Tamandua tetradactyla: one gene and its partners. Each later gene encodes a partner of the first gene's protein in a complex. Links are inferred from orthologs where the notes say so. Each region holds a gene or a part of one and is shown in the gene's direction. Other genes may lie near its edges.

Evidence for each region.
Region 2: DRC8 (region 1) and DRC5 share a complex: the UniProt entries of both Homo sapiens proteins name them as parts of the nexin-dynein regulatory complex. The link is inferred for Tamandua tetradactyla from reciprocal best matches to the Homo sapiens genes DRC8 and DRC5.
Region 3: DRC8 (region 1) and DRC12 share a complex: the UniProt entries of both Homo sapiens proteins name them as parts of the nexin-dynein regulatory complex. The link is inferred for Tamandua tetradactyla from reciprocal best matches to the Homo sapiens genes DRC8 and DRC12.
Region 4: DRC8 (region 1) and DRC10 share a complex: the UniProt entries of both Homo sapiens proteins name them as parts of the nexin-dynein regulatory complex. The link is inferred for Tamandua tetradactyla from reciprocal best matches to the Homo sapiens genes DRC8 and DRC10.

Annotation. Positions count from the first base shown.
Region 1 is NC_135333.1:16,560,435-16,567,593, forward strand, and holds the start of DRC8 (dynein regulatory complex protein 8), read left to right. Parts: upstream 1-4,153; 5' UTR 4,154-4,531; coding exon 4,532-4,757; intron 4,758-7,159. UniProt on the Homo sapiens protein: Component of the nexin-dynein regulatory complex (N-DRC), a key regulator of ciliary/flagellar motility which maintains the alignment and integrity of the distal axoneme and regulates microtubule sliding in motile axonemes.
Region 2 is NC_135331.1:101,910,280-101,917,702, reverse strand, and holds the start of DRC5 (dynein regulatory complex subunit 5), read left to right. Parts: upstream 1-4,423; 5' UTR 4,424-4,513; exon of another isoform or gene 4,514-4,711; intron 4,712-7,423. Other genes in the region: AARS2 (alanine--tRNA ligase, mitochondrial), read left to right, coding at 216-299, 420-530, 985-1,149. UniProt on the Homo sapiens protein: Component of the nexin-dynein regulatory complex (N-DRC) a key regulator of ciliary/flagellar motility which maintains the alignment and integrity of the distal axoneme and regulates microtubule sliding in motile axonemes.
Region 3 is NC_135334.1:21,541,776-21,548,827, forward strand, and holds the start of DRC12 (dynein regulatory complex protein 12), read left to right. Parts: upstream 1-4,048; 5' UTR 4,049-4,228; coding exon 4,229-4,339; intron 4,340-5,303; coding exon 5,304-5,469; intron 5,470-5,883; coding exon 5,884-5,949; intron 5,950-6,380; coding exon 6,381-6,500; intron 6,501-6,990; coding exon 6,991-7,052. UniProt on the Homo sapiens protein: Component of the nexin-dynein regulatory complex (N-DRC), a key regulator of ciliary/flagellar motility which maintains the alignment and integrity of the distal axoneme and regulates microtubule sliding in motile axonemes.
Region 4 is NC_135331.1:13,883,542-13,891,151, reverse strand, and holds the start of DRC10 (dynein regulatory complex protein 10), read left to right. Parts: upstream 1-4,593; 5' UTR 4,594-4,860; intron 4,861-7,610. Other genes in the region: TPCN1 (two pore channel protein 1), read right to left, coding at 1,381-1,492. UniProt on the Homo sapiens protein: Component of the nexin-dynein regulatory complex (N-DRC), a key regulator of ciliary/flagellar motility which maintains the alignment and integrity of the distal axoneme and regulates microtubule sliding in motile axonemes.

The DNA of each region.
Region 1 (7,159 bases):
AGAATAAATATTTTCTGCATCCCTCCAGGGCATGGTGCTAAAGCCTGTCTGAATAGATTTAATCCACTATAAATTCAGGCATGCAAAGGACATAACCTACCATGCTGGAGACCTGGGTTTGATTCTTGCCACATGCATACAAATAAAAAAAAAAAGAAAGAAAAGAAAAAGAAAAGGACATAAGGACATAACCTGTACATGTCCACCTGGTCCTATGGAATAATCAAATAAGTATCACTGTCTAAAACTATACTCTTTTAAGCTTATATAGTATCCATGAGAAGGATCAAAAATATCTCTGTTTCTTAGTTTCTGAAAATTACTGTGAGATTCTTAGGGGGAAAAATGCTTTAGCAGTACACAAAATTGCAAAGTTACTCAAGCTATAGTACAGAAACAAAAATCACATGAAAGAAAAGATTCTAGTTCACCATTGTCTAAAACAAGCTAATGATCATTTAAAAAGAATTAAAAGTATAATATATCAAGAGAGTCAGGTTTCCACAACCAAAAAAAGTGTAAAATCAAGTCAAATAATGACATTGTACAGATCATTTATTCACTGGCATTGTGAGCATTTGTTATTTGGATAACCATTTTCACCTTCTGGAAAGGTTTCCAGAATGATGATCTCTAATCAGCTAATCACAGTCAGTTCAAAAGTATTATTAAGCAGCTATTATGTGCCCCCAATTACGCTGCGTTTATAAGACTAGGTTCTTGCCTTCTGTGCTGGTTTGAAATGATGTATGTACCCTAGAATAGCCATGTTTTAAATCCTAATCCCATTTTGTCAAGGCAGACGTTTTCTTCTAATCCCTATTCGGTATTGTATGTTTGAAACTGTAATTAGATCATCTCCCTGGAGATGTGATTTAATCAAGAGTGTTTGTTAAACTGGATTTGGTGGACGCGTGTCTCCACCCATCTGGGTGGGTCTTGATTAGTTTACTGGAATCCTATAAAAGAGAACAACAAGAGCGAAAGCCAGGAGATTCAGAGAGAGCAGAGAATGCTGCAACACCACAAAGAAGAGAGTTTACCAGCCGGCGACCTTTGGAGATGAAGAAGGAAAACTCCTCCTGGGGAGCTTCATGAAACAGGAAGCCAGGAGAGAAGCTAGCAAATGACCCTGTTCGCCATGTGCCTTTCCAGAGGAGAAACCCTGACTATGTTCGCCATGTGCCTTCTCATTTGAGAGAGAAACCCTGAACTTCATTGGCCTTCTTGAACCAAGGTATCTTTACCTGGATGCCGTTGATTGGACATTTCTATAGACTTGTTTTAATTGGAACATTTTCTCAGCCTTAGAACTGTAAACTAGCAACTTATTAAATTCCCCTTTTCAAAAGCCATTTTGTTTCTGATATATTGCATTCTGGCAGCTAGCAAACTAGAACACTTTCAAACTTAATAAGGAGAAGGAGTTAATATATATTAAATATTTTTTACTCATCCAAACCAAAAGAAATAGCATTTTCTGAAATGTGCTTTAGGAATTCAGAGAAGTAATTAATCTGGTTTAGAGTAATTTAAATAAAAAGTTTGCTGAGGTGTTAGATTTAGTCACAAATTTAAAAGTATTGAGCAGGGAGTTTGCAGAAAATCTGTTCAACTCTTAAAATAATTTGGTTTTTATTTATATATGAGTTCCATTTTATTAACATGTGCAGCCAGTAAGTTTGCTGATACAAAAATATAATAGAAAAATGTCTTACTTGGGATAAGTCTGTTGACTCTGGGTCTTGAAGAAAATCACTGAGGAGACCAACTCCAGTCTTAATTTTTTAAAATATATTATTTCAGACACAAAAATTGAAACATTTTCTACAAACTAGAGATATATGGATGAATAAAGCCTGAAGCATTTACAGTTTGGTAGAAGGAAATAAGTAAATCATTGCAAATCATTGGGAGAGGCTCTGTAAGATGTGTACGGCCCCCCCAGAGGAAGAGGTTATAGAGAAAACTTCCAGGCGGTAACCTTCAAAGAGATCAACAACCAGGAAGGGTCAAATATGTGTCTGTGGGATGGTGAACTGTGGCGAAGGAAGAGAGGGAAGAAAGGTACTTAAGAAATAGGAAACTGCAAACAGCATATAAAAAGGCACAGTGAGTAAGTAGTGGAGTTTAATTGGGGTTTAAATTGCAGTGGGAGAGTTGGGACTTTCTACATTTATTTTAAAGCCCTTCATTATCTATATGAAGAAAGAGAGTCTAAAGACAAGTAACTAGACCATAATGACTGTGAGATTTAACATAAATGACATGCTAATAATTAATTAGCTAATACAATGCTAATAATTACTTTTATATTTGGGTGTTAAGAATTCACTATATGTAATTGTATTTATTTCATATAAATATCTTCTGATAAGAAATATTATGATAATCGAACCATCCAATTTCAAATAGAACCACATGGATACCTATCTTTTTTTTTTTTTGCATGGATAGACACGGGGATAGCAGGAGAGAACGCTACCTGCTGAGCCACCGCTACCTGCTGAGCCACCGCTACCTGCTGAGCCACCGTTGCCCGTCCGCACATGGATACCTTTTATAGTAAAAACCTTACTTTAGTAAAGAATATAGTCAGTTTGCTTTAGGTTTTAGTTTAAGATTTTAGATACAGAATAAAATGAGCATAAAACCAGTGTTAATAAAATAATTAAATAGAAGTATCTTGCATTAAATACAAATTATCTCTTAAAATTTAGTTAATAGTTGATAAATTGCTTCTACATTCATCACGTCATTTACATTAGTACAGCATATACACCTAAGTATCATTTAACATTAGTTTTAAAATAAGTATTTGAGCCACATCATTAGGCATATTAAAACGTTTTTAAGAAGAAAATAATGTAGTAGCGTGAATTTAGTCTTAAAAATAACATACTAAAAAGTTAAACACAACTGCAAAATTCCAGAAAAGCAAGATTGAACGCTTTTCCATAGCCACTTTCACTGGAGGTCATCTCAAATTTCACAACTAAGAACAGTTTAAGATGTAATACTGGCACATTTTTGTTGCTAAGAGAACCTATTTTGTTTCAGAATTGCAGCCTTGACGACGCAATGTTTGCGCCTGTTTTTACACGTTTTTCTAGCGCTATTTCTCTTCTCTAGCAGCAATAGTCTAATGGCGCTGGTTTCCCCTTGCACCCGGCCCAGTTTTCCGTTTTAGCTTCAGTTCTCACAGGCTGTGCGCTCGCCTGTTCTGGAAAGGGCGGGGAGGACTGGAAGGGAGAAGCCCGGAGGGAAGGGTTGGGGTGGCGCGGCCCCACTGCAGCCGCCGGGGCCGCTCCCCAGCGTGGACCCGCTGTGAGTGCGGAGGCCGAGGGGGCTGGACGGCGGGAGGGTGCCGGCCCCGCCGGGGCAGCGGCCTCTTCATCAGGCTCTCGGCTGCGATTTAAAATCTGCAGCAAAAACCGTGTGCACACATCCTACAAACAGGAGGGGCGGGCGAGGGCAGTGTGTCCGCGTGATGTCCCCGAATGAGTCGGGAAAAAGGGAAAGGAGAGGTTCGAGAAATTATCAAATAGTTACCCCAGGCCGGAAAAATCAGGGCCCAGGCCTTGCGCTAGAGGAGAAAAGGCTGAGGGGCCGGTTGGCGCAGCACTGGGGCCCGGGCGATAGCACCGGCTTCCGCGAGAGGCTCGGGGCGGGCAGGGCAGAGGATGCGCGCCCGGTCTCCCCCACCCACCCCGGGGGCTTCCTTCCCTGGGATTCTTAGAGACTCGAACTCTAGGCCCGGCTCGCCGTGCGGCCGGAGCGGGGAAAAGGACGCCACGACCTTGGGTAACGCTAGGCATCTCCCAGGCGACAGACTCCGCGACAAGATGGCGGAGGAGAGGGAGCGCACAGGTAAGCGCCGTTGGGTGAGCGGCTGCCCTTGCAGCCGCTGCGACCCCGGGGTGCACAGGCAAATGGGGAGTGGGGTTGTTCGCCGTTCATCTTGTATCCCCACCACAGAGAAAGAGGTGATTGAGAAGACCGGTCGACCAGCTCTGCAAGGGAGGCTTCCCTCGCCCCCGCGCGGGGTGCTTCCCGGGCGGACTCTCGGCCCCGCCTCCCCCTTCTCCCCACTCCTCCTCCCTCCTCCCTCCTCCCTCTCTTCCCCCTCTCCGCCCCTCCCTCGAAGGCCCGAGCCTCGGTTCAACTGTCGGGCTGAGGGACAGACGGGCGAAGGCAATAATGGCGGCCTTGTTCACGTTCTTGGGGACGTCGCCTTGCCCGGAGTTCTCGGTGCCGCAGGCGCCACGCCAGCAGCTGCTCAGGCTTCGGTCACCACCGGGTGGCTGGGCAGGACGGGCGCCGGCTGCCAGGATCTGACGGGCTCCCTTTCGGTCGCGCCGAACTCCCTCCCGGGCCCAGCCGGATGGCTTTGCGGCCACCATTTTGCCTCTGTGGTGAGGACGTGGGAGGAGGGCCTGGAGGTCACCGCCGCTTCCTGCGCGCCTCCCTGGCCCCGAAAATGCCTGCCGTCTTATAAATAAAAGCAAATCAAAATCCAGCAATTTCAATAATGACGAAATGGCCCAATCGCGTGGGAAACGCGTACGAACCCCCGTGTGCAGGCAGAGAGTCCCCCCCGGTCCCGTGGCGGGAACAGCCACCCCAGCGCGCGGTCGCCGCTGGCACGGGCCAGACTGGGCCGGGCGGCTTAAGGTCTGCCGGGTCCGGAGAGCTGAGAAAGGAAAAACTGATTATCCAAGGTTATTTGCAAGACATTACATTGTTTTCACTCAGCGGTATGACTTAAAACTAGACCTTTAAACTAGACCCTTAGTTACCTTGGTTGCCTCGTAGTTACTACTAAAAGTAAGTGTTTATATTTATTAATTGCCAAAGTCACCGCAGAAACAAAGTGATAAAGCAGTAGAGGTAACTTAGAAATGAAAACAATATTCCACCTTTGTGTCCTTTCTGGAGCGCTCGAAGACTTATATCAGCGTTCTGTTTTTCTCAGCATGGAACAAAGTCAGGTCAGGTTAAGTGAATAAACTGACCCCTAGATGCTTAGTCCCTTGCCATGGTGATCAGATCAGCAGAGGAGAAACAAATGAAACGGTGCCAAAGATCTGCCTATTGATAACAGTAATACTCTTTGATCTTTTCATGGTATGGTTAGTCTGAGAATGCGGGACTGTTAAATAGATGTTACCTTTCCTAAAATAATTATAATTTTATGATGCTGTTATACTTACAGAAGTATGAGATATTTTCTAGATAAATTTTAAACCTTCCCCAGAAAAAGGAATGATTTATTCTTATATATTCTAAGTTCCTATTTATAATAAATGGAAAAATCATTAAGAGATAAATGTTCTAAGTTAATTATGGATTTTTTAAAAAAGTGATTTGATTAGAACAGCATGAGAATCAAAAAGCACTGGATTATGCTCCAATTACGCTATCTTTACTTTTTTTAAATAGAGCTTTCCTGATTTTTCAATTTTCAAAAATGTTTTCCTATTTAAAATAAATTAATTCAGAGAAAGAAAAAATTCTGTACACAATCATAGAAGTAATACTGTTAAAAGCTGGATACCATTCATTCACTGGCATATATTTAATTCCTAACATATGGAAGCCATTCTGCTTAGATTAGAACTTTGGAGGAGACAAAGATGAACAAGACCTGGTCCCTCCTTCCAAGAAAGGTGAGTTTAGTGAGGAATATGAATCATATACAAATGGGAGGGATCAGGTTACTAGGTAGAGCAGCATTTGTGCCAGACACTGTGCCAGGTATTGTACCCTTGCTACTCAAACCCAATCTGTGGGCAGAAGGTTCAGCAGCAGTGGGACTTTGTCAGAAATGAAGAATCTCAGGCTCTGCATTGTGAATCAGAGTCTGCATTTTAACATATTTGCAGGTGACCCACATGCACCTTAAAGTTTGAGGCGCACTGTTAGATAGTATATGCCACTTATTCTTAACAGTTTTATGAATTAACTATAACTGCATTTTGAAGGGCATGATGAAATAATCTTATGTTGTCTGAGGATAAACTAGAGACTTGGTGATATTGATCTTTGAATGGACATTTTCCACTCCTATATTTGATTCTCAGGTTTGAAGTTTCAGAAATTACTTCTAACTTGACTAAGCAGAATTGATCAGGCTTTGGGAATTCAATTAAGCTAATGAAACTCATGAAAGACTGATTTGCAAACCTGGATAATTTAATAATTTAAATAAGAGTATGTTGATACAATTACCAGAAAGCTGATTTCTGCAATGTAATACACTATATTATGGGTATTAAACTTTTGGGGAGATTGAATTTATATTTCAGAAGTTGCTTGATGAGCATAGAATCAAACAAAAGAGGATAGTTTTGAAGCATGTATCCATTATCAGTTTCAAGAGGTCAAGGACCTTTTCTGATCTGTTATACCCAATGTACAGCAGTGTCTCCTTGAAGTATGCATTAAATAAATATTTTGAATTTAGATCATCTGAAGTCATCAAAGTCAGTTGATGTGTTAACTAAGGTCATAACTAACTTTATTTAATATTCTATATCTAAGTAAACATAAATAATAAAATTTAATAAAATAAAGCTAATTTCTGTTTTTTTTTTCTTTTCCTTACTACTAAAGCCTTATGTTTATATTTAATCTGGGTCAACAATTTTTTTTTTCAGAGGGCCATGGTATTAACTAGTGTATCTTAAAAATTTCTTAATAGAAACATGTTTTAAATAGTTCATCTTAATTTTGAGATATATTGCAGTTATATAGGAGCAGTAAGTTTCTGGGTAGTCAGCTCCTCTTCATCATTTAGGGATTAGCACTGATATAAGTATGGAGAATATTGATAGGAAAAATGAACTAAATTTAGTACAGGGGCTATTATACTCTTTTTTTTTTTTACATGGGTAGGCACCAGGAATCGAACCCGGGTCCTTGGGCATGGCAGGCAAGCATTCTTACCTGCTGAACCACCGTGGCCCACCTGGCTATCATACTCTTGTAAAACCTTTCTGTACTCTTCCGTATATTGAAGTTATTATGCTGATTTGTAGCGTATTTTGTGCCTTGGCCTAGTATAATTTTTTTTCCTAGATTAAAAATGTGTGATAGTTGTATTAGCTAAAAAATAAAATAAGTTAAATTTTAGAATTGTTAACTTAAAAATTCAAAT
Region 2 (7,423 bases), on another chromosome or scaffold:
GGTGGGGAAAGGGGGGAGGACACAGGTGAGACCCAAAAAGAGGAGACCACCATAGGCTTGAGTTCCTGCCACCTCTGCTCAAAGCTGAAGACTTGCGGAGGGGCCAGGGAAGAGGAAGGGAGGGGAACGCTGGGCTGGGGCCCAGTTCAGAAGTGGGGGCCAGCTGGAAACCTGCTTCCCAGTCTCTCCCTTCTGCTTTCCTTCTTATCTCACAGGCAACAAAGAAAGCCGAGGAGCTGCTGGAGCGCCATGCAAAGGGGCCTCTGATTGTGGACACAATCCCCACTGAGTCCCTCTCAGTGAGTGTTAGGGGAGGGGGCTGGAGGGCTGCCCAAGGGTCTGGGGAGGGGAAAATTGTGACTGGAAGGTAGCTGGGAGTCTGGGTAGCTATGGGCTCACCTCTGTCCTTCCTTGCCCAGGTGCTGGTGAAGGTGGTGCGGCAGCTGTGTGAGCAGGCCCCCAGCACATCTGTGTTGCTCCTCAGCCCGCGGCCCCTGGGGAAAGTGCTGTGTGCCTGTCAGGTGGCCCAGGTGAGGGAAGCAGAGAGCAGCCCCGCATCCCCACCCATTTCTTGATCCAACTCTCTGACTCCACTATTTTTATTCCTCCCTAACGAGGAAGACAAGGCCAGGTAGAGGTTATCTATGAGGACAAGCAGGATAAGGCAACCTTCTATCCCTAAAGACCACCTACCTTCACCCCCAGAGACATGCCTCCTCAACAACTTCACCAGAGTATAATCAGAATGAGATTCCCTAATTACCAGCCTACTCCCGCCCCCCCCCCACAAGCCTCACATCCCTTGCAAACAAGAAGCAAACATTCATTAACCTCTGCACACATGCCCAGCCTTTCTGTCTCCTCAGTGATTTCCCCCAATATGGAGAGGGGGTGTGAATCACCTGTGATTTCATCTCACAGGCTGAGTGGATGGTGGCAAGGAAGGCTGTCCTGTATGACTTCACCTTCTGTTTCTGTCCCCAGGATGCCACACCCACCTTCACAGCAGAAGCCTGGGCACTGGCAGTGTGCAGCCACATGGGGGGCAGGGCCTGGGGCTCTGGTGTTGTAGCCCAGGGCACTGGAAGCACTGCTGACTTAGAAGCTGTCCTCAGCACCGCCCAGGCCTACGCTCTCAACCAGCTGTAACCCAGGCCTGTCCAGGAATCTGCATGGACTGAAGAGATACTGGACAGGCAAGACTAGGAGCCCTTGAGGAGTGACCAGACCCCACAGAGGGTGAGGCAGAGGCCTGGAGGCTGAGACTGAGCAGCTGAACTGGAGAGGCCACTCTGGACCAGAACTTCCATGGACACAGACAGATGTGGGCCAGGGAGAGCAGAGGGAGCCCAGAGCACACCCCCACTGAATGAATGTGAAGACACAGGCAATCATGGCTGTGACTGTTCATTATAAAGTGTTTCACAGAAGATCCAGAAGTTTCTTTTAGTTAAAAAAAAAAAAGCTGCCTTTCTGCTCCCACCTGTATATCTGCCCCACCACCAGGTCTGTCCCCTCACACGGGGCTGAAAGGCCACCAAGGGTCCAAATCAGGATCATCTTCATCACCAAGTGCCAAAGCAGGTTCTTTCAGGTACTCACAAGGATACTGGCCCCCAAGATTCAGAACAATCATGTAAAAATCAGTACAGTGGGGCAGACCTGGTGTTCATTTCATAACGGTGACTTCTCATTTTTAATTAAGACACTGCTCATTTGTTGATAAATTGAGCAACAGGTACTAGCCAATGGCTGAGAATGTGGTAAAAACCAAACAGACAAAAATTCCTACTCTGGTGACGCTTACTGCTAGTGGAGAAAACTAGCAGTAAACAAGAGAAAGAAGAGGATGTCAGATGGTGATGAGGTCTGTGGGGAAAAATAAAGTATGGAAAGAGGATCAGGAGTGTGGAGGTGGGGTTACTGCCTCTTCAAGAGGCGGCATCTGAGCAGAGACCGGTAGGTGAGGGTGTGAGCCACGTGGCTCTCTGTGGCAAGGCCATTGCAGGCTAAGGGAAGCACTGGTGCAGAGGCCCTGGGATGGGAGTGAGGCAGTCAGTGTGGCTAAGCACAGTGAGCTGAGAGAGTGGCAGGTGACAGGGTCAGAGAGACAGTGGAGGCCAGGCCAACCTTACTTTTTTTTTTTTATTAATAAAACCAATCAACATACAATATGCACATTCTTTTTTTCATCACATAATTGTATATTCATCATTTCTTAGAACATTTGCATCCATTCAGAAAAAGAAATAAAAAGAAAACAAAAAAATTCATACATATCATACCCTTTATCCCCCCTTTCATTGATCACTAACATTTCAATCTATTAAATTTATTTACATTTGTTACCCCTATTATTTATTTATTTTTAACCCATATGTTTTAATCACTTGTCCATAAGGTAGATAAAAGAAGCATTAGACACAAGGTTTTCACAACCACAGAGTCACACTGCAAAAGCTATATCATTATACAATCATCTTCAGGAAACATGGTTACTGGAACACAGCGCTACATTTTCAGGCAGTACCCACCAGCCTTTCTGTTATGCCTTAACTAAATAGGTGGTATCTATTTAATGCATAAGAATAACCTCCAGGATAACCTCTCTACTCTGGTTGGACTCTCTCAGCCATTGACACTTTATTTTGTCTCATTTCTCTTTTCTCCCTTGTGGTTGAGAAGGTTTTCTCAATCCCTTGGTGCTGAGTCCCAGCTCATACTAGGATTTCTGTCCCATGTTGCCAGGAAGGTCCACACCCCTGGGAGTCATGTCCCACGTAGAGGGAGGGGGAGGGCAGTGAGTTTGCTTGTCGTGTTGGCTGAAAGAGAGAGGCCACATCTGAGCAGCAAAAGAGGTTCCCTTAGGCCTAATTTTAAGTAGCCTTAGCCTATCCTTTGTGGGGTTAAGTTTCATATGAACAAACCCCAAGATTGGGGGCTCAGGCTATTGCTTCAACCTTACTCTTTTTCAAACAAATTGCACCACATCTGCCCCCAGGCTGAGCTGAAGCTGGAAACAGGGTCTAAAATTGGCAGCTCAGAGGAGGAGAAAGCCCTCCTTGCCTAACAGAATGAACCCCCCCAGGACTGAGCCAGACTCTGGAGCTCTCTGTCCCCAGTCTATTGTTAGATAAAAAGAAAGGATCTCAGGAGACCCATCTTCAAATAAGTGTTCCCTGGCTACCGAGTTCTGCGGCTATCTAGTAAAAATATTAGAGCAGGTAGGTCCTCCTGGCATCACTTCATTCCTTACCTGATTTCTCACTCAAATTAAGGCACTGATAACTGGTTGGGAAATCACTGATGAGGGCTTCTAGGGACCCACATCCCTGGTGCCTGGCCCCTGACTGCTCACCCCAGCCCTTCGGGGCTGCAGAGCTTTATTTCGGGATCTGGGTAGTTAGAGCAGACCATTATTCAATGGTGCTCACCCAGGCCCACCCAGCCTTTTATGAGCTCCATGGCCACTAGAATGAGGACTTGTGGTACCCCCATTTTACCAAGGAAATTGAGTTTCTGAGATGCTGGCTTATCCAAGGTAACCAAGGAGTCATTGGGAGAGTGGAAATCAAAGTTAAGCTCTGTCTTCAGGTGAAACTCTTCCTTCCACCCTGGCAGCCTCTCCCCTTCTGAAGGACAATTTATTTTCCTTACTAGTTACCGGTCCGGGAAATCAGAGGCACCACATCCTATCACCCCAAGGTTGTGGGGGAGGAAGGGTTGACACCAGGCTTGAGGCTGTATGAAGGAAGGAGCTCTATGGAGGCCTGGAACCTTCCTGCCTCAGGTGCCAGATACCAGCCTTGTTTACAACCTAAAGAGAGATGGAAGTTGCCACCCTTCAGGGATGCAGTAGCCCAGAGCTCACTTAGGGGGTCTGAGTCAACACGATGCCTCAGAGGAACTCCAATAACTCTTACAGGTATGCTGGAGAAAGTCCTTCTACCCCCTCATCTTCCAGAAGAAACATTCACTGAGCTTTTCCTAGACCATCTACTCCCCACCACCCCAATCCCCTGTAACCACCCCACCCCCATTTCCAGGCAAAATGTACTAAGGAACAAGCACTTGTGTCCAGGTGCCCTGCCACATCCTCCCACCCACTTTCTCCACGAATAGCATACCCATTCCTAGCGTCGCCAAGGAACACAAAACCACCCCAAGGCCCCAAAGTTCCCACTAAGCAGGCCCACGCAGCAGGCCAGGAGGAAGCTTCCTGAAGCAGGGTCCCGGCCGCCTTGCGTGCCAGTTAATCCTCGCCAAGGCCAGTGGCGGCAACCACAACAGAGGAACAGGCTTCTGCGCCTCCACGACACACCTGGGAAACACGGGGCCCACGCGGCGTACACGTGCACGTGCACACCGGGCCTGGGGCCCGGGGGGGGGGGGGGGGGGGGGATGCAGAACGCCCGGCGTTGACCCGCCCCCTGGCAACGCCCGGCGTCCCTAACGACCCCTCCGGCCGCGCCGGGCCTGCTCAAAGGCGAGCGCCAGCACTCCGAAGGAGCGGGTGAGGCGACCTCCCTGACGGGGGACACTCAACCCCCGGGGCCCCTAATGGGCTGAACTCTCCCCGCCCTCCCCCTGGACGCCTCTCCTACGCCCCAGAGAGAGGACGGGCGCTCTGATCCCTCACAGGCCTGAAGCCCGAAATCCGCAGGCAGCCATCGTCTGGACTCCCCACATTTCTCTGGGTGAGGAAGGACAGGTTTGTAGCTATGGGAGCTTCCCACCCATTTGGGGCGGGACTCGTAGTTCCTCCTTAGCCGCAGTCACTGTCTGCAAACTGGCCCAGAGGGTAGGAGTCTGAGTAAGGGATGGGGAGTGGATGCGGGGGACCATGGGGAGAAGGAAAGGGCAGGGCATCGGGTAGGTGTTGGAAGAGAACATGGAACAGAGCCACTGGTCCTAAGCCTGGAGCCCAGGACTCTCAGAAAGGCTGACACCCAGCCCCAGCTCCCCAGGCTGCCATCTCTCCTGCAAATCCACAAGCTTCCCCATCCCCCTCCCTCCCACCGCCTGGCTGGTTTCCCTTGGTTACCCAGGAGACAGCCGGAGCCTCTAAGGCCCAGATGGGGTGGGGGAGGAACTCGCTGACCTTTGGAGCTGAGCTTCCCTGCTGGGGTATCTGAGTTGAAAGTGAGGGGTTAGGAGCGAAGTCGCTGGAGTCTCTTTAGAGACAACAAACCCAAGTGGACAGGAGTTCGGAGAGGACCCAGGTCAGGGGCTGCGATAAGTGTGCTGACCTGACTGGACTATTTTACTGGGTCAAAGACCAAGCATGCTGGTCTTGGGCTCTGTCCAAGAAACTCTTTTGTCCCCCTTCTTGTGACTCCACTATCTGGGAATTTGGGAGTGACTTATACTAGATAAATTCTGACATGGTGGGCATGAAAGAGATTACACAGGAGGTGTAGAAAAAAGCTCATCCTGAGGATGAATGCCTGGGGAGAGCTTCCTTAGGGAATCTGGAATGGGGGCGAAGCTGGCTAAGAGGGCCCAGAAAGCACAGTCAGAGAGGTGGGTAGAGACCCGGAGGAGTGGTGCGTCAGGAAAGTCCAGGAGGAGAGAGGCTTTAAGATGACATGGCAGGCCATCCCAAAGACTCCAGTGCCCCCTGGAGATTGACACGTAGGCACACTGCCCCTCAAGGGGCCTTTCCCCAAGAGAGCATTGAGATTGGAGGCTAGATTTCAGGAGCTGGAGGAGAGCCCCTCATCTTTCAGGGTAAGAACGGGAGGATGCCGGGTCAGAAAGGAGGAAGAAGCGAGGCTGTGGCTGGAAAAGGCAAGGTCAGTGTCAGGTGAGAGACGGAAGTGGTGGGGACAGGATGGAAGCCGAGATGGTCAGCAAGGAGTGTACGTGGGCACAGAGTTACTCCAGGGTCTAAAGAGGGCCAGACACCACATCTTCTCAGCTAAGAGGAAGGGAGGAGAAAATAGTTGAGCACTAGGGATGTGACAGGGGCTGGAAGGTGAAAGGACTCTCCTCACCCCCTAACATCTTGAGCCTACCCTTTCAGGCAGGTTGGCAGAGGCTCTGCCCAGAGTAGGTAGTTTTACTCTGAGGCCTTGAGTCAGGATGGCGAAAGTCTGAGACTTCCTTTGGGAGGAGGAAATGTGCCAAAGATTCAAGCATCATACCCTGATCTGGGAGGAGAATTGAGGGCCGTGTGTGAGCCAAGGGTCAAGGACAGCACAGTTCTGCAGTGTTCTTCTAATCCCTTTAGGAGATCACACCAAAGGAGATACGCATTGATCCAGCTTTTGAGGGAGATTTCTGTGTCTGGCAGTGAGCTGGGAGTGAGGAGGCCTGGGCTGTTAGGTCTGCACAGCAGGCACCAGGCTGCTGACAAGGAGAGAACTCCTGAGCTGGGGACTATGAGATGCTCTTTGAAAAGGGCTGTGAATGACCAAGTTGGTGGCAGGTCTGAAGCAACAACAACATATCATTACTTATTTTATTTTTGTGCATGGAAGTGAGAGCAGGAGACGTTAACTCAAACTTCGGCCTCTCCATTTACTAGCTATGTGACATTTAGCAAGTTCCTTAAGTTTTCTAAACCTCAGTTTCCTCGTTTGTGAAGTGGAGATAATAATTTTAAAACTGAGGATTTAATAAACATATGTAAGTCCATGGTGAAAGTCTCCCTGGCAATATGGGACAAGACCAGCTGGGGCAAGTCTGGCCCTGGCACCGTGGGATCAACACCACCTTCCTGACCAAAAGGAGGAAAAGAAATGTAACAAAATAAGGTATCGGTGACTAAGAGAGTTCAACTGGAGTTGAATATCTATTCTGGAGGCTACTCTCATGCAACCTTTAGCTAGATATTGCTAATAATCACAGTTTGCCAAACCCCAACCAAAATCATTCCTATTAACTCTAAAGAATACCTAAGGCTCTGAGATTCTACAAAAGTTTCACATACTAAAATTACTTTCCAGAAACCTACAACCTCCAGATAGGGTCCTAGGCCAGATAAGTCCTAAAACCCAGAGGGGCCAGCCAGCCTCTCCAAGGACCTCAACTAGTTCCATCCCCCTATCCCGTATTATTGACACCCCTTTACCACATGAAAAAGTTAGAAACGGCAGAGCCCAATACCCCTAGAGACTGGTAGAAGGATCAAAGGCAAAGTAGGAATTATAACAGAAAAGATAGGATTTGACAAATGAGTATGACTCCTGAATAATTATATTGATATTTCTTTTAGTCTCCAATGCCTTAGAGCAGCTAGAAGGAAAAACCTAGAATTGTGGAACAGTAAGCCATACCAAACTCTGAAATCTGTTCTATAACTACTTGTTACAATGTACTTTAACATTAATTGCTTTTTTGTACATATATGTTATATTTCATAATAAAAAAATGTTTAAAGTGAAGGTAAAAAATGTATGTAGGTAAGCAATCGAACACC
Region 3 (7,052 bases), on another chromosome or scaffold:
CATCCTCATTCTGCACCTGAAAGTCGGTTAACTGAACACGTTTGTAAAGTAAGGGCTCGTCTGAGGCACGATACATGGTTTCTACACCATAATCTCTGTCTTTGCTATGTTATTTCAGACATCAAAATAACACAGACACTAATCATCCATGCAGAAAACCTCCATAGACTTCAGGATGAGGAGGACAGAAACAGGAATTCCACCCCCTTACATTCGAGGGCAGAAGGAGATGGTTCTGGAGGGAGAATAAATGAGAGACACGCTTCAAGACTAGAAGAAAAGTATTCTCCAGACTTGGAGCATGTGCACATGATACCTGACCCTGGGTCACAGTTGCTATAAGCACCTGAAAAGACAAGCCTGGCTCCTCTCTTTTCTCTGTAATGTCTGAAGGATCCAGAAAAGTACCCAGAAGCTGCCAAGGTGCAAAATAAACATGAATTGGCCTCTTCCTGAACCTGCCTGCTGCCCAGAGGAAGGACTGTTTATTTCCAGATCTCATGGCTACTTCAGCCACTCTGCTCCTGATGACAGGCAATTGACCAAAAATGTTGAGGAAGACAAGAATGGAGAGAGGCGTCTAAAGAAAGAGTCTGCAGGCCCCTTAATCCTCCAGGGGAAAGCCCTGAAGTTTCTTCTGTTTTCATTCTAGACAGTCAGGTGTCCAGAGATCCAGATGGCAGTGAGATGACAAGGCTCCAGAATGGCACAGGACTGGAGGGAGGGTAGGGGCCACCTGACTTGTCATATTCACTTCTCCAAATTTATTTCTCCAACCACTCATGACTCTAGCAAGATGCAAGGAAGTATACTCAAGAGGTAGGCAACCCCAACATTGCCCAATAAATAATTAGAATTAAAAATTAAGCAGAGTACCAAAAAAAAAATCTGCTTTAAAAAATAAGCCATGCCAGAAACCAGGGTTGATTCCCATGGCCTGCCCATGCCAAAAAAATTTTTTTTGCTTTAAAAATTAAGCGGACTGATAAATAAATGGGAACTCCTCAAAATTAAATACTTTTGCGCATCAGAGAACTTCATCAAGAAAATAAAAAGACAGCCTACACAATGGGAAACAATATTTGGAAACGATATATCAGATAAAGGTCTAGTATCCAGAATTTATAAAGAGATTGTTCAACTCAACAACAAAAAGACAGCCAATCCAATTACAAAATGGGAAAAAGATTTCAACAGACACTTCTCAGAAGCGGAAATACAAATGGCCAAAAGGTGCATGAAGAGATGCTCAACTTCCCTGACCATTAGAGAAATGCAAATCAAAACCACAATGAGATATCATCTCACACCCACCAGAATGGCCATTATCAATAAAACAGAAAACCACAAGTGCTGGAGAGAATGTAGAGAAAAAGGCACACTTATCCATTGTTGGTGGGAATGGCAAATGGTGCAACGGCTGTGGAAGGCAGTTTGGCGGTTCCTCAAAAAGCTGAATATAGAATTGCCATATGACCCAGCAATACCATTGCTAGGTATCTACTCAGAGGACTTAAGGGCAAAGACACAAACGGACACTTGCACACCAATGTTTATAGCAGCATTATGTACAATTGCAAAGAGATGGAAACAGCCAAAATGTCCATCAACAGACAAGTGGCTAAACAAACTGTGGTATATACATACGATGGAATATTATGCAGCTGTAAGACAGAATAAAGTTATGAAGTATTTAACAACATGGAAGAACCTTGAGGACATTATGCTGAGATTAGCCAAAAACAAAAGGATAAATACTGTATGGTCTCACTGATATGAACTGATATTGGTGAATAAACTTGGAATATTTTGTTGGTAACAGAGACCATCAGGAGATAGAAATAGGGTAAGATATTGGGTAAGTGGAGCTGAAGGGATACAGATTGTGCAACAGGACTGAATATAAAAACTCAGAAATGGACAGCACAATACTACCTAACTGTAATACAATTATGTTAAAACACTGAATGAAGCTGAATGTGAGAATGATAGAGGGAGGAGGGCTGGGGGCATAAATGAAATCAGAAAGAAAGACGATAAAGATTGAGATGGTATAATCTCGGAATGCCTAGAGTGTATAATGATAGTGACTAAATGTACAAATTTTGAAAATGTTTTTGCATAAGGAAGAACAAAGGATGCTGAAAATAGATGGTAATTAATATTTTAAAATTTCAACTTATGTGTGAGACTAAAGAAAAAAAATGATTATTTGGTACAAAATTTATATTTTGACTAGTGCATTTCCTAATATAACTTATGTAGATAGCTTGCTTGAACACCATAAGTACTTGGAACCTTGGGTAGGACATGGGATTTTGTTGGTTTGTCCAGAGTGATGCCCCGATGAATCCCAGAGTGATTTGAACAGTGAGTGGAAAAGTATTTGCAAAGTCCCCTTTGGGGAATAGTGAGAACGGGGAGAAATTCAACTTCCCCAAGTAGAATTCTTGATATTCTCACAAGCAGTGTGGACAACCAAAGCTATAGGCTAAGCCCCCAGTCTTGGGGTTTGTTCATATGAAACTTAACCCCACAAAGGATAGGTCAAGCCTACTTAAAATTAGGCCTAGAAGTCACCCCCAAGAGAGCCTCTTTTGTTGCTCAGATGTGGCCCCTCTCTTCAGCCAACACAACAATGAAACCCACCACCCTCCCCCTGTCTACGTGGGACATGACTCCCAGGGGTGTGGACCTTCCTGGCAACTTGGGACAGAAATCCTACAATGAGCTGAGACTCAGCATCAAGGGATTGAGAAAACCTTCTCGACAAAAAGGGGGAAGAGTGAAATGAGACAAAGTGGCAATGGCTGAGAGATTCCAAACAGAGTCCAGAGGTTATCCTGGAGGTTATTCTTATGCATTAAGTAGATATCACCTTGTTATTCAAGATGTAATAGAGAGGCTGGAGGGAACTGCCTGAAAATGTAGAGCTGTGTTCCAGTAGCCATGTTTCTTGAGGATGACTGAATAATGATATAGCTTTCCCAATGTGACTGTGTGATTGTGAAAACCTTGTGTCTGATGCTTCTTTTATCTACTTTGTCAACAGATGAGTAGAACATATGGAATAAAAATAAATAATAGGGGGAACAAATGTTAAAATAAATTTGGTTTGAAATGCTAGTGATCAGTGAAAGGGAGGGGTAAGGGGTATGGTATGTATAAATTTTTTTTCTGTTTTCATTTTATTTCTTTTCTGAATAGATGCAAATGTTCCAAGAAATGATTATGATACTGAATATGCAACTATGTGCTGACATTGTGAATTACTGATTATATGTAGAACAAAATGATCAAAATAGGAATGTTTGCATTTGCTTTGTGTTTTTTGGTATTTAAAAAAATAAAATTAAAAAATTTTTTTAAAAGTTAAGCAGACTGGAAACAAGATCAGATAAGAACATTAGAGGGAGCTCCAATCAACACTGTGCTGCAGGGAGCTTGGCAAAATTTTTTCTCAGAACCTCATTGAAAATCAACCACGTAAAAAGTGAGATTAATACACCAAGAGAGAAGCAACCCTTGTAAATAATCCCGTTAAACCCAAGCATTTTGATTTACAAAAATCAAAGCTTTAAAGACCAGCAACTTGAAGCTGAAACGAAGTTGAATGGCTTGCCCAGCTTTAGGAAACCAGAGGAAGGACTAGAACTCGCATCTCTTGTCTCTCCGGCCAGTCCCATTTTCTCCACACCCTGGGCAACATGGGTCCATCTCCCCTCTGTGTCTCATTTCTTTGAAATGGGAAACTCTCCTACCTGCTTCTTGCATCTCCCTTATACACCAGAAAAATGCTTTTTACTGAAGAGGACCTTGAGTTTTAAGCCTAATAATGTCATTTTCCCGATGGACCCTAGAGCTGTAAATTGCCCAAAATGGCTATCAGGAATCCTTTTTCTCCACATCAGCACAACACTATTATTTCTGATGTGTAAAGCTTGTAATTTGTATGTCTCCAAATTGCAGACTTCCTACATGGAAGTGAATCATAGCAAATTGGCTCCAAAGTCCTTTCTCCTCAAACCACACTTTGAATTTGGGAATAAGGAGAGGACTGACCCTCTGCAATCTTAGTGTTTTAAGCCGAGTGAATTAAAATAGCCCATTCTACCTTCCTGCGAGCTCTGTGTTTCCCAGTTGCCTGGACAACAGGCTGTCTCTAAAAACCCAACCTTCCAGTTCTCAGTCCTGCCCCCGTCGGAAATCTGCCACCCTGGATTGGCTCATGGAACGCTTCCTCCTCTTTGGGTTCCTGCTGGTTGGACTTTTTTTCTGCCCTTCCTCAAAAGGGTCACTCCGCAGGGAGACGCAACAGAGGCAAGAGAGGATTCTAAAGGTAGGAAGAGGTGGAGTGAGGGAGATGGGGGAGAAGCAGATACTGAGATTCATTTTTCTCTAAAAGAGGGTTGAGAGGGATGACTTCTGTGTAAAGACCCAAATGGATAGAAAAAAACAGCTCCATGTAAGAGTCCATAGAGACCAAGAACTGAAGCTTCTGGAAAGTGCAAGAAACAGAGTTGGAGACTAGAATTCCCACTTTCCTGGTGTTACCGGACAAAGGCAGTGAATTCTTTTCCCCAGTGAGTTCAATAACCAATTCCTGAGACACCGGGGTTGCAAAGACAGAAAATGTTTATTGCTAGGCAGGAAGCAGACCAGATGGCCTATCAGCCCAAAATGTGTCTCCCTGAACTGCAGTAATTCTGAAAGTTTTATAGTATCATAAGATGGGCAGATTTTAGGATAAGGAGCACAGTGGCCCCACATGATGTAATTAGAGGTGATCTGATTATTGAGCATGCACAGATTGATTACATACTTAGTCACAGAAGGTATGAAAGAAAATGGTGACTTTAATATGCTGATTGGTATTATAATTAGGTATCAATGACTTGTAGGTTAAAGTCTAACCTACTGCACATGTCAGGCAGGCCCATTTTTTATTAGCTCCACCTCCAGTAATCAAGGTAACTTTGGATTTTGATTGGGTTAGTTCTGGGCTGACCCAAGACTCTTCATTAATAAACATTAGGGGCTGTCTTTAGTGATAACAAGACTGGAGACTCTAGAGTCGAAAAACAGGAAAAATGGGTACACGTGACGGTTAGTCACAAATTTTTACAATCACAAAGGACACAAGATAAAGGCTACACATCATTATCAGAGGTCAAGGCAGCTGGATTCCAGTTCAGAGATTTCAGGTATTTCCCTCTGTCTACTCCAGTGTACTAGAAAGCAAAAAGGAATTTCTATATAATGATTCGGCAACCATAATCATTCCTTAAGTCCTAATTTTTCAGTTATACCAGGACTCTTGGTTCAGCCTAAAAGTCAGAAAAGCATCCCCGTGTCCAGACGTGAATACCAGTCTTCTCCTTCTTCTGGATAGCAAGAAGATGCCACCTAAGACCAAAGAAAAAGGGCTGAAAGCTGGGGCACAGAATAAGAAAAAGAATTCAGGTGCTGGTGAGTTGGGGGGGTGCCCCCCACTTCTCCATGCTCTGGCACAGAGACCAGCACCGGTCCTCCAGAGACTATTTGGTCCTCTGTATGATGAGATGGAGCTTTCTTGACCCTCCCCCCTCATATCTTCATATCCAGGTTCCATGGAGGTGGGAAATTGGGGAAAATCAGTCATTTGACCCCTCCCTTGAGTCCCTTCTAGCTCAGGTTCAGCTCTGAGCCTTCCGTATATATTCATCACATATATTTTGAATACCCACTCTATGCTAGGCAGTGAGGATGCAGTGGTAACCTCAGACCTCAGGAAGAAAGGAAGTCCAGAGATTGGGTGAGGAGGGGAGGAGAGTCGCGGGAGGAGGGTACTGAGAGCAAGACCAAGGGCTTGCAACCCTCTCCTCTGTCAACTTGCTAGGGCAGATGTGGAAGCCGAGTCCAAGCACAGGCTGGAAGTGCTGGAGAAGGAGTTGCTCCGAGACCAGTTGGGTAAGAAGGGCAGGAGCTCCAAGAGGCTACAGGGGTGGGGCAATGAGGTATTTCTGTTTCCACCACCTCCTCTCATCCTCAGGGATTGGAGGGTTGGAGCTATGGTTGGGGGTTAAGCTAACCTCTAACCATTCCCTAATGGGAAAACACTGTTATGAGTTGAGATCGTGGTGGGGAGGGGGTGGGCATTGAGGTTTGATGAGAGAACTAGGGAGCTATTTTTACAGCCAGAATGTGAGAAATTTTTGCTCCTTAATAGTGAAAAGTCTGTGAGATTCTGAGAGGAGGGGGTGGGTGGCACCCAGGTGAGAATGGGAGGCTAGATGCTCTACCTCCAAGTTTCTGAAAGTGGGCAGGGCCAGTCAAAAACACGGAGCTGGCTCAGTGGGGCCCCCAGTCAGATCTGAGGGCTGCTCTGGGACCACCCACAGCCCTGCGGAGGGACGAGGCCCGCCAAGCCAAAGCCTCTGAAGACCAGCTGAAGCAAAGGTTGCAAGGGTTGGAGGCTGAACTGGAGAGAGCCCGAAGTGAAGGGAAGGCCGTATATGCAGGTATGTGGTGGGTTTAGCGGGTGGGCAGGAGGCAGGGCTCTGGAAGAGAACAACCAAGAAGAGATACATTTGCTGTGCCCAGTCTCAGGACAAATGAGGCAGATCCTAAAAAACCCAAAGAAGTCCTCGGGGATCCTAGGCAGGGATCTTCCAGGATCCCTGATGCCATGTGCTTGATGCTTTGCAGGTTATGCAATGTAGCAATAGCCATTACCCCATTGATTCCATGGGAGTGAATGGGACAGCTTAGAATCCCTATCCTGGGCTGGAATGGGGAGAGGGGTTTGGTTTTCTCTCCCTCCCCCGGGTTTTCAGGGACTCCCAACTTCTCAGAATCTCTCCAGAGGAATCAAGAAGGCTTTTATGCTCCCATCCCACTGGACCAAGCATAAATCCCCTGGGCCCTCCTCACCTACAATTTAATCTCCTTTCTCCATTCTTCCATCCCCACTGAGTCGCTGCCCCCACCCCCACCCCGTCCCTCCCATAGAGATGACTCGCCAGTACCGGGCCCTGCAGGAGAAGATGGAGAACCGCAGCAGGTGGCTGGAG
Region 4 (7,610 bases), on another chromosome or scaffold:
GGGAAGGATCTTTGTAGTCAGACAGTTCTGGGTTCAAATCACTGTCCAGTCACTATGTGGGCTATGGTACGACCTTGGGCAAGTGACTTAACTTCTCTGACCCATAGTTCCTCCTTCTATAAAATAGGGATAATACTGCCTATTTTGCAAAAGGGACCTACATAACAGAAAGTTAAAGCCTGATGCTTAGCTTGACAGTTCTAGGCAATATAAGAAAAGTTAACAATCAGAGCCACTGCTTTTCTAGTCCTGGATGGTTCTTAGGAAAACATCTGATTTACATTCTAACCCTCCTGCACCATGCTCAACCAGAGCCACCCAGCTCTGCCACTCTAGACGGGGGTGAACATGCAGAAGCAAGGAGAGGCCAGTTTGTAGGGAGCCAAGCCCATCACTGCCTTCCCATCCCCAAGGAACACTGCTCTCCTTCATTACTTCCACGGGGAAAATGCTGAGTTCTCTGCAACCCAAATGTGTTCTCTCTGGACAAAGGAAATAGGTCAGAGAAGGAGATAAGTGTCTTCACTTGTGAACTAGACAAGAGCAATAAGCCCACCGTCCTGGCTGAAGACTGGCAGATGTGTGGAACATCCATTTGCTAAGGAGACCCCAAAGCGCTATCTCCAGTGTCTTAGGACTCTTCCTAAAAATAAGTTATTTTAAGCTTCTCCTGAGGCTAAGGCCTGAGGAAATGAAGCAACTGGCTTCAGGACAAAGACCAGAAAGGTTTTTAAGGCCTCTCATTCTGCCAGAAACACACTTAAAATTTAAAAATGTAAAGCTCACAACCTCTCTTGGCCTCATTTTGTGCTAGGCTTTGGTTTAGAGGAAGACAGAGCAAAACCAAAAACCCTCAGATCAATGGCTGACTTGAGCAGGTCAACAGAATTCACAACAAATGCTTGCCCCCTTCCACCTCTGTCCTGGGCAAGGCACAGACTGAGCTCAAGTGGAAAGAAGCACTCAACTCTACCTTCCTGCCAATGGTTTCAGATTGGGACAGAGGGAGGCTGGTGGTGAAATCTGTTTTGTTTTGTTTTTAACAAGGAATGGGGCAGCTAGCCAAGGAGCTTAGACCAAGATCCCAGCCAAGCATCCATGGACAAGGTCAAGGTATCCACAGCACAAGGGAGGCAAGTGGCAGAGAGAAGCAAGAGCTCTCAGAGGGCCAGCTAGCCCCAAAAGCATCACAAAGCTTGTGGATGGGACTAGAAATCCCAAGGTTTCCTAGGAGTCACTTCTGAGTCAGAACTTGAAGCTCAAATACGGGTGTCTGCCCAGAGGGTACAACACCTTTCCTACTGGACCATAAAGCCCACATGGTCCCTGGCACTCAGAAACAGAAGAGTCACGCTCCCCCAGCCCACCTCAGTGTCTTACTTTTGTTAAGCAGTTCCCCTTGGCCAAGTCCATTGGAGGGGGCTGGTGGGGCACTGCCACTCTCGTCCAAGGTCAGGATAAGGGGCACGTCGTCATCTAAACTCACGGCCATGTTCTTCTCTCCTGCAGACCTCAGGATGTGATGTCCAGGGCTTTAAACAGTCTCTGGCTTGATATCCCTTTAAAAGCCACAGCCTCAGAGGTGCCTCTCAGACACACCTCCATTAGACGCATCTTCTAGGATCTGGGGAATTAAAAAGAAAAGAAAGAATTACTAAAATACAACCATTATTGATAAAAAAAAATTCTGAAATTAATGCTGACAGTTTTACAACCTTGTGAAGATACTAAAAATAAAACCACTGAATAGTACACTTTAAAAGGGTGAATTCTATGATACGCGAATTGTATCTCAATTTAAAGAAAACTATAGTACAGTATATGCCCCCAACATCTGCAAAAACATATGCTGAAAAGTTAAGCATACTTATATCTGGAAAGTAAACTTGTGATTAATACATTCCATTCCTTCCTTACCCGTGTCTATGTGAATTTTTAAAAGTTTTTTAAAGACTCAAAAAAAAAAAATACAACTATTAAAATAATAGTAGTTGGGTGGGCCACAGTGGCTCAGCAAGTAAGAGTGCTTGCCTGCCATGCCCAAGGACCCGGGTTCGATTCCCAGTGCCTGCCCATGTAAAAATAAATAAATAAATAAAAATAATAGTAGTTAATACTCTTTTGAGTGCATACTATGTCCCAGACACTCTTCTGGCAATTTATAAATACAAGCTGTCAATCTTCATAATAGCCTAGTGAGATAGGTCGGATTATTATTCCCCTTTTACAGAGAGGGAAACTTTAGGCACAGAGAGGGCATGTAACTTGACCAAGAACCCACAGTCAGAAGGCCAAATTTGGAACTATGCAGTCCGACTTCAGAATGGTGCTCTTAGCTCTTCAGTTCAATTCCTCAAAGTAGTAGCCCTGATTCTTAAGCAGCATCCAGCTTCAGTGACCTGCAGAGCATGGCAGGTGATCTCCATTTGTCCATATCCTAGGCCCTACTCTCCTAGCTTTAGGTGTTTGAGGAGGACAAAGGTACTGAAAAGAGATCCAGTCACATAACAAAAGTGCTTGTCCCTAGGTTACAATTTAAAACCTTCACAACAGACTTTCAGAGTTCCTATTTAATCGCATTTCCATTTCCTCTTAGGAGAGCCAACAGAAAAGCAAAGACTCAGCAGATATGACCGCAGACCTTTGAACTTGAAAACAGCTGGCAGGTTCCTTCCTCAAGCTGTTACCATTTGGGATCAATTAACTTTGCCTCCAAACTGACCTAATGAATGACAACTGAGCAGCTGAATTCTTCCGCAAGCCATCAAAATAACTTCAGGCAGCTCCCTCTGAATCAAGAGGGAAGAGGACATCTTAAAACAAGGCAGCAAAAGTAAACACCCTTCAACTTGCCACAAAGCCTGTACCTCTGCCCAGCAAACTTCCTGTGAGTTTTTTTCTTTTTTTTAATGTTTCCTCCAAATCTGGGGATTTATTTTCTTTTTAGATCTCAGTAATGGGGAGGCAGAAGAAGGAGAAATTCAAATGAGAAGCTACGATCAAGCTGTCTTATTCAAGAATTATGTGTTGTTTTTTTCTTTTTAACTTTTTACCGTGGACATTTTCAAATATATGTAAATGAACTTCCTTGCATCCATTCCCCAGCTTCAACAAATTACCAACAGTTTACCATCCTCTCCTGTATTTGAGGGTTGGAAGGATCTATTAACCCTCTCAACTCATCAAGAACAGGTTTTCTGATTTATCATCATTAACATAATGACTACATTTTCATTTTAACTGTTTAACGTATGATTGCTTGCTTACATTGCCTTAGCTCAGTGATTATCAACTGGGGACAATCCCCCCAACCCAGGAACATGTGACAGCATCTGGAGACATTTCTGAGAGTCAGAACTTGTGGGGAGAGTCAGGGCACGAGGGGGTTACCAGCATCTACCGGGTAGAGGTCTGGGATGCAACTAGACAGCAGCTCCAGACAGATCCCCACTGCAAAGAATTCTCTAGCCCAAGATGTCAACAGTGCTGCCCTCATAGCTAACATCCTCACTTTACAGAGGAGGGAACAGAGGCTTAGTGAAGTTTACTTAACTTGCCTCATAGAAGAGCCCAGATTTCAACCCAGACTAAGGTCAGGGACCCTCTTCCCTTACTACCCTATGGTAACAGGATTCACAACTACCCTCCTCCCAGAACCAGTTCCCTAATTTGGATTCAAACCCCTCATTTTGCTGATGGGGGAAAGTGAGGCCCAGAGAGGGGAAGGAACTTGCCCAAGGTCACACAGTGCAGAGGCAGGGCTAAAACGCAGGACTCCTGAGTCCTAGCCGAGTGCCCCTTTCATCCGCCTTGCTTACTCCTCTACCTAGGACGCAGGAGGGTAAGGGTCACCCTGGGAAAGGGACCCGGGGAAAGGGGGTCAGCAGGTATCCCGCTGCCAGCTGGGGCAGCCGGACCCAGGCACAAGCGCCGTACTGGACGTCCTGAGGGCACGAGGGGGATGAGCGGGCGAGGGAGAGGCAAGAGGCAGGAGTGCCAGCTCCAGCTCCCCGCGCTTCCAGCCCTGGTCTGAACCCCCGCGCGGGGGTCGTCCGGGAGCTGGTGGCGAGGAGAGAGGGTGCAAAGCCGCGGCCTGGGCTGGAGGGAGCGAAGCGCGGCGTTGACTTCCCCTCGGCCCCCACTTCCCGGTGCCCTGCTGCAACCCCTCACTTCGCGCGCCTGCCTGGGCTCCTACCCCTGCCCTCTCCCTCAGACCAAGCTCTCGCGCCCCCGGGTTCTTACACGCGCCGCCCCAGCCACCCGGACCGCGTGCCGGGGTCCACACCGCACCACGCACCCAGCCCGTCGCCACGGCCGCCAGAGCCCCGGGGCGGAGTTGTTGCTGGCGCTCCATGAGCCGCCACTCCAGACCAAGCCGCCACGGCAGCTGCGCCAGTTCTCCCACCCGCCGCCTAGTCCCCTTAACCCCGCAGGCCCCGCCCCCATTTCCCCCTTTGCCGCCGCCTATTGGCTAGCCTGGATGCCATGCTGAACTCTGATTGGCTAAGCCTAACATCCTTCCCAATCCTTTCCCGCGGTGAGGGCAGCACTCCCAGCCGGCCTCCTCCGGCAGGGGAGGGACGTAGAAGCTCCGCCCTTTTCCTCTTCCCTCCCTCCCCCCCTTCGTTGGCCCAACCCAGAGGGAGTCCCGGTTCTTGCAATTGGTGCAGAGGCAGAGAGACGGCGCTCTTGATTGGTCAAATACCAGGAGGTGGGGCGAACTGAGCGGAATAAGAAATTGAATGGTGAAAAGGAAAGTCAGTCAGATGCCGAGTCCCGCCTCCTGAGATTGACTGGTCACCTAGCAACGCAGGCGCCACCGAATTAGCTGTGGGCAGAGACCTGGAGGCTTCCGAACAGGTGAGTGATCAGGTGTGTGCGTAGGCAGAGGTGAGAGGGAGATATGGAATAGGAACTAACCCGCCCTCCTTTGGCTCCATAAAGAAGTAGCCCCATCCCTAGCTCGTCCGAGCCCCAGGACCCTACTCTCCAGCCTCTGCCTCTCCTCAATCTGGACCTCCCTCTCGACCGCCTGCACATCCTCCTCGGGTCTCCAGCTAAATCAAGTGGAGGCACATCATAGTTCATTTATTTCAAGTCAAACATAGGTGCTACGGGGTAAGAGGGTAGCTTATAGTCTCCTACCATTCCACCCGACAACCATGGGCTGGCATGCAATCAAAGGCATCTTGTGTGAATGTTTAAATTAGGTCATTTTGATTACACCAATTTTTTACTTACGTGCAGACCTCAGAAGTTAATTCCCATCCCCACCCTTAAAATGTGATTCATTGTACATACTTTCAGACAAAGAGTTTGTTGCGAAGATCAAATGAGGTAAGGCAATGAAGAGCTTGGCACAGAGGCCAACAACATAGTAAGTGCTCAGGAAAAAGTGGTGTGCTGATTTGAAGCTGTTGTGGACCCCAGAAAAGGCCATGCTCTTTTAATCCATTCTTAAGGGTGCAGAACTATTGTTGGGTGGGCCTTTTGATTAGGTTGTTTCAACTGAGATGTGACCCAGTCCATTCAAGGTGGGTCTTACTCCTTTACTGGAGTCCTTTTTGAGACCATAAAAGACAGAAAAGCCGAGAGAGCTTAGAGAGAGAAATAGCCAGAGAATCAGGAAGGACCCACAGGAGCTGAGAAAGAAAGCCACTGAAACCATGAGCCAAAAGCAACGAATCCCAGGAGTGAAGGACCAGCAGATGCCAGCTGTGTGCCTTCCCTATGACAGAGGGATCCTGAATGCCAGCAGTCTTTCTTCAGAAAAGGAGTCTTTCTCTTGATGCCTTAATTTGGACGTTTTTGCAGCCTTAGAACTGTAAATTTGTAAACTAATAAATCCCCATTGTAAAAGCCAACCCATTTCTGGTACATCGCATTCTAGCAGATTTATCAAACTGGACTAAGTAGTAATAGTACTACTACTATTAATGATAATAACAACTTTTTTTCTAAAACACATCTAGCCATGACTCTTCCTGCTTAAAACAGCTCCAAGGAAGTTCTCTCCTTCCATCCCTTTAAGTATTCATATATTCAACAAGTATTTACTGAGTGCCCAGTAAGGGCCAGGCACTGCTCTAGGTGTTGGTATAGAATAATCAATCAGTAAAGGAAACTGCATTCTTCCCCTCATGGAGCTTGAAGCCTAATGTGGGAAATAAACAATCAAATAACATACAGAAAAATGTGAAATCACACCTATGAACAGTCATATCCAACGTGATGAAGCAAGGAAGTCAACAGATCCTCTCCTCAAAAAGCAAATATAAAGCTGGGCGAAACGGTCTAGTTCTATCTCAGCACTCTGGAAACTGATCAAAGGCATAGAACAAACTGAGAGCATTTGTACATGAAAACCACTGAACTTCAAATTTGTGGCATACTTACCAGTGGCTGCTTCTATTCCCCCTCCCCCCAGTTCTATCAGTGTGATATGTCAATCAGGGCAGGCAGGCCATGAAAACTAATAGCTTCACTGTCACTGCCTGAGGGGGCTTATTTAATTTGGAGCATTGGCAGTTGAAGTGGCAACCTCGGTGGCAAGTGAACAGGGAGGGCCAGCAACTCCACTAAGCCCAAGGCTGCAGTCCTGTTTGGAGCCAAAATGGATCAGCAACCTAGAATCCTGAGATGTGAGACAGCTATAGGGTGCTTAATAAGCTCTCCACATATCCTGCATTGACCAAGGCGATGCACATATATATAGCAGAGAATAGAGCAGGTCCAACCACCTATGCATCCCTGGCCATCGGAGCCTGTACACACTTGCAGAGGAGACACAAGGAGGTCTGGCAGAAATTAAAAGCCAGGGTAGGCTTGAAAGCAACCTGAACATTGTTCTCCCTAGCAGAGAATGAAAGCCTTCCTGGCTGAAAGTGTTGGAGCACAACCTCTGACCAATTTGTGGTGAACATTAAGCTATGCACACACAGGGGCAACCCCTAGGAAGCCAGGCTTAAATATAAAAACAAGAAAAAGAAATGGGCAGAGACAGCAGCTGCTGTGCATCGTGGGAGAGACTGACTTCACACATGTAGTCCAGGCAACTTATTTAACAAATGCACAAGCAAAACAACAGTTTTTTAAGAGGGAAAAAAGAGAGAGAGAGAATCAGAGTTGCTGCAAATTTTATTTAAAATGTATAATAGTCAACAAAGAAAATTATGAGGCAGGCAGAGAAACAAAAAAGTGTAAAGATGAAAAAAGCAGTCAATAGAAACTATCTCTGGGAATCCTCTGATATTGAATTTCGCACACAAAGACTTCAAAGAAACTATTATAAATATGTACAAATAACTAAAGGAAACCATGTTTAAAGAATTAAAGGAATGTATGATAAACTGACATCGAAAAAAATCAACATTTTTATCATTTCTTCCTTTGACTACTTTAAAAGATGTCAGATTACATAAAGCAATAATTATAATGTTCTATTGTTGTGTTTATAATATGTATAGATGTAATAAAGGTGACAATAACAACACAAAAGAGGAGGATGGTGAAGGAGATATTTTAGACCAGTTTCTATATTTTACTGAAGTTAGGTTGGTATTATTCTGAGTTATATTGTGATAAATTAAGGTATACATTATAATCACTAG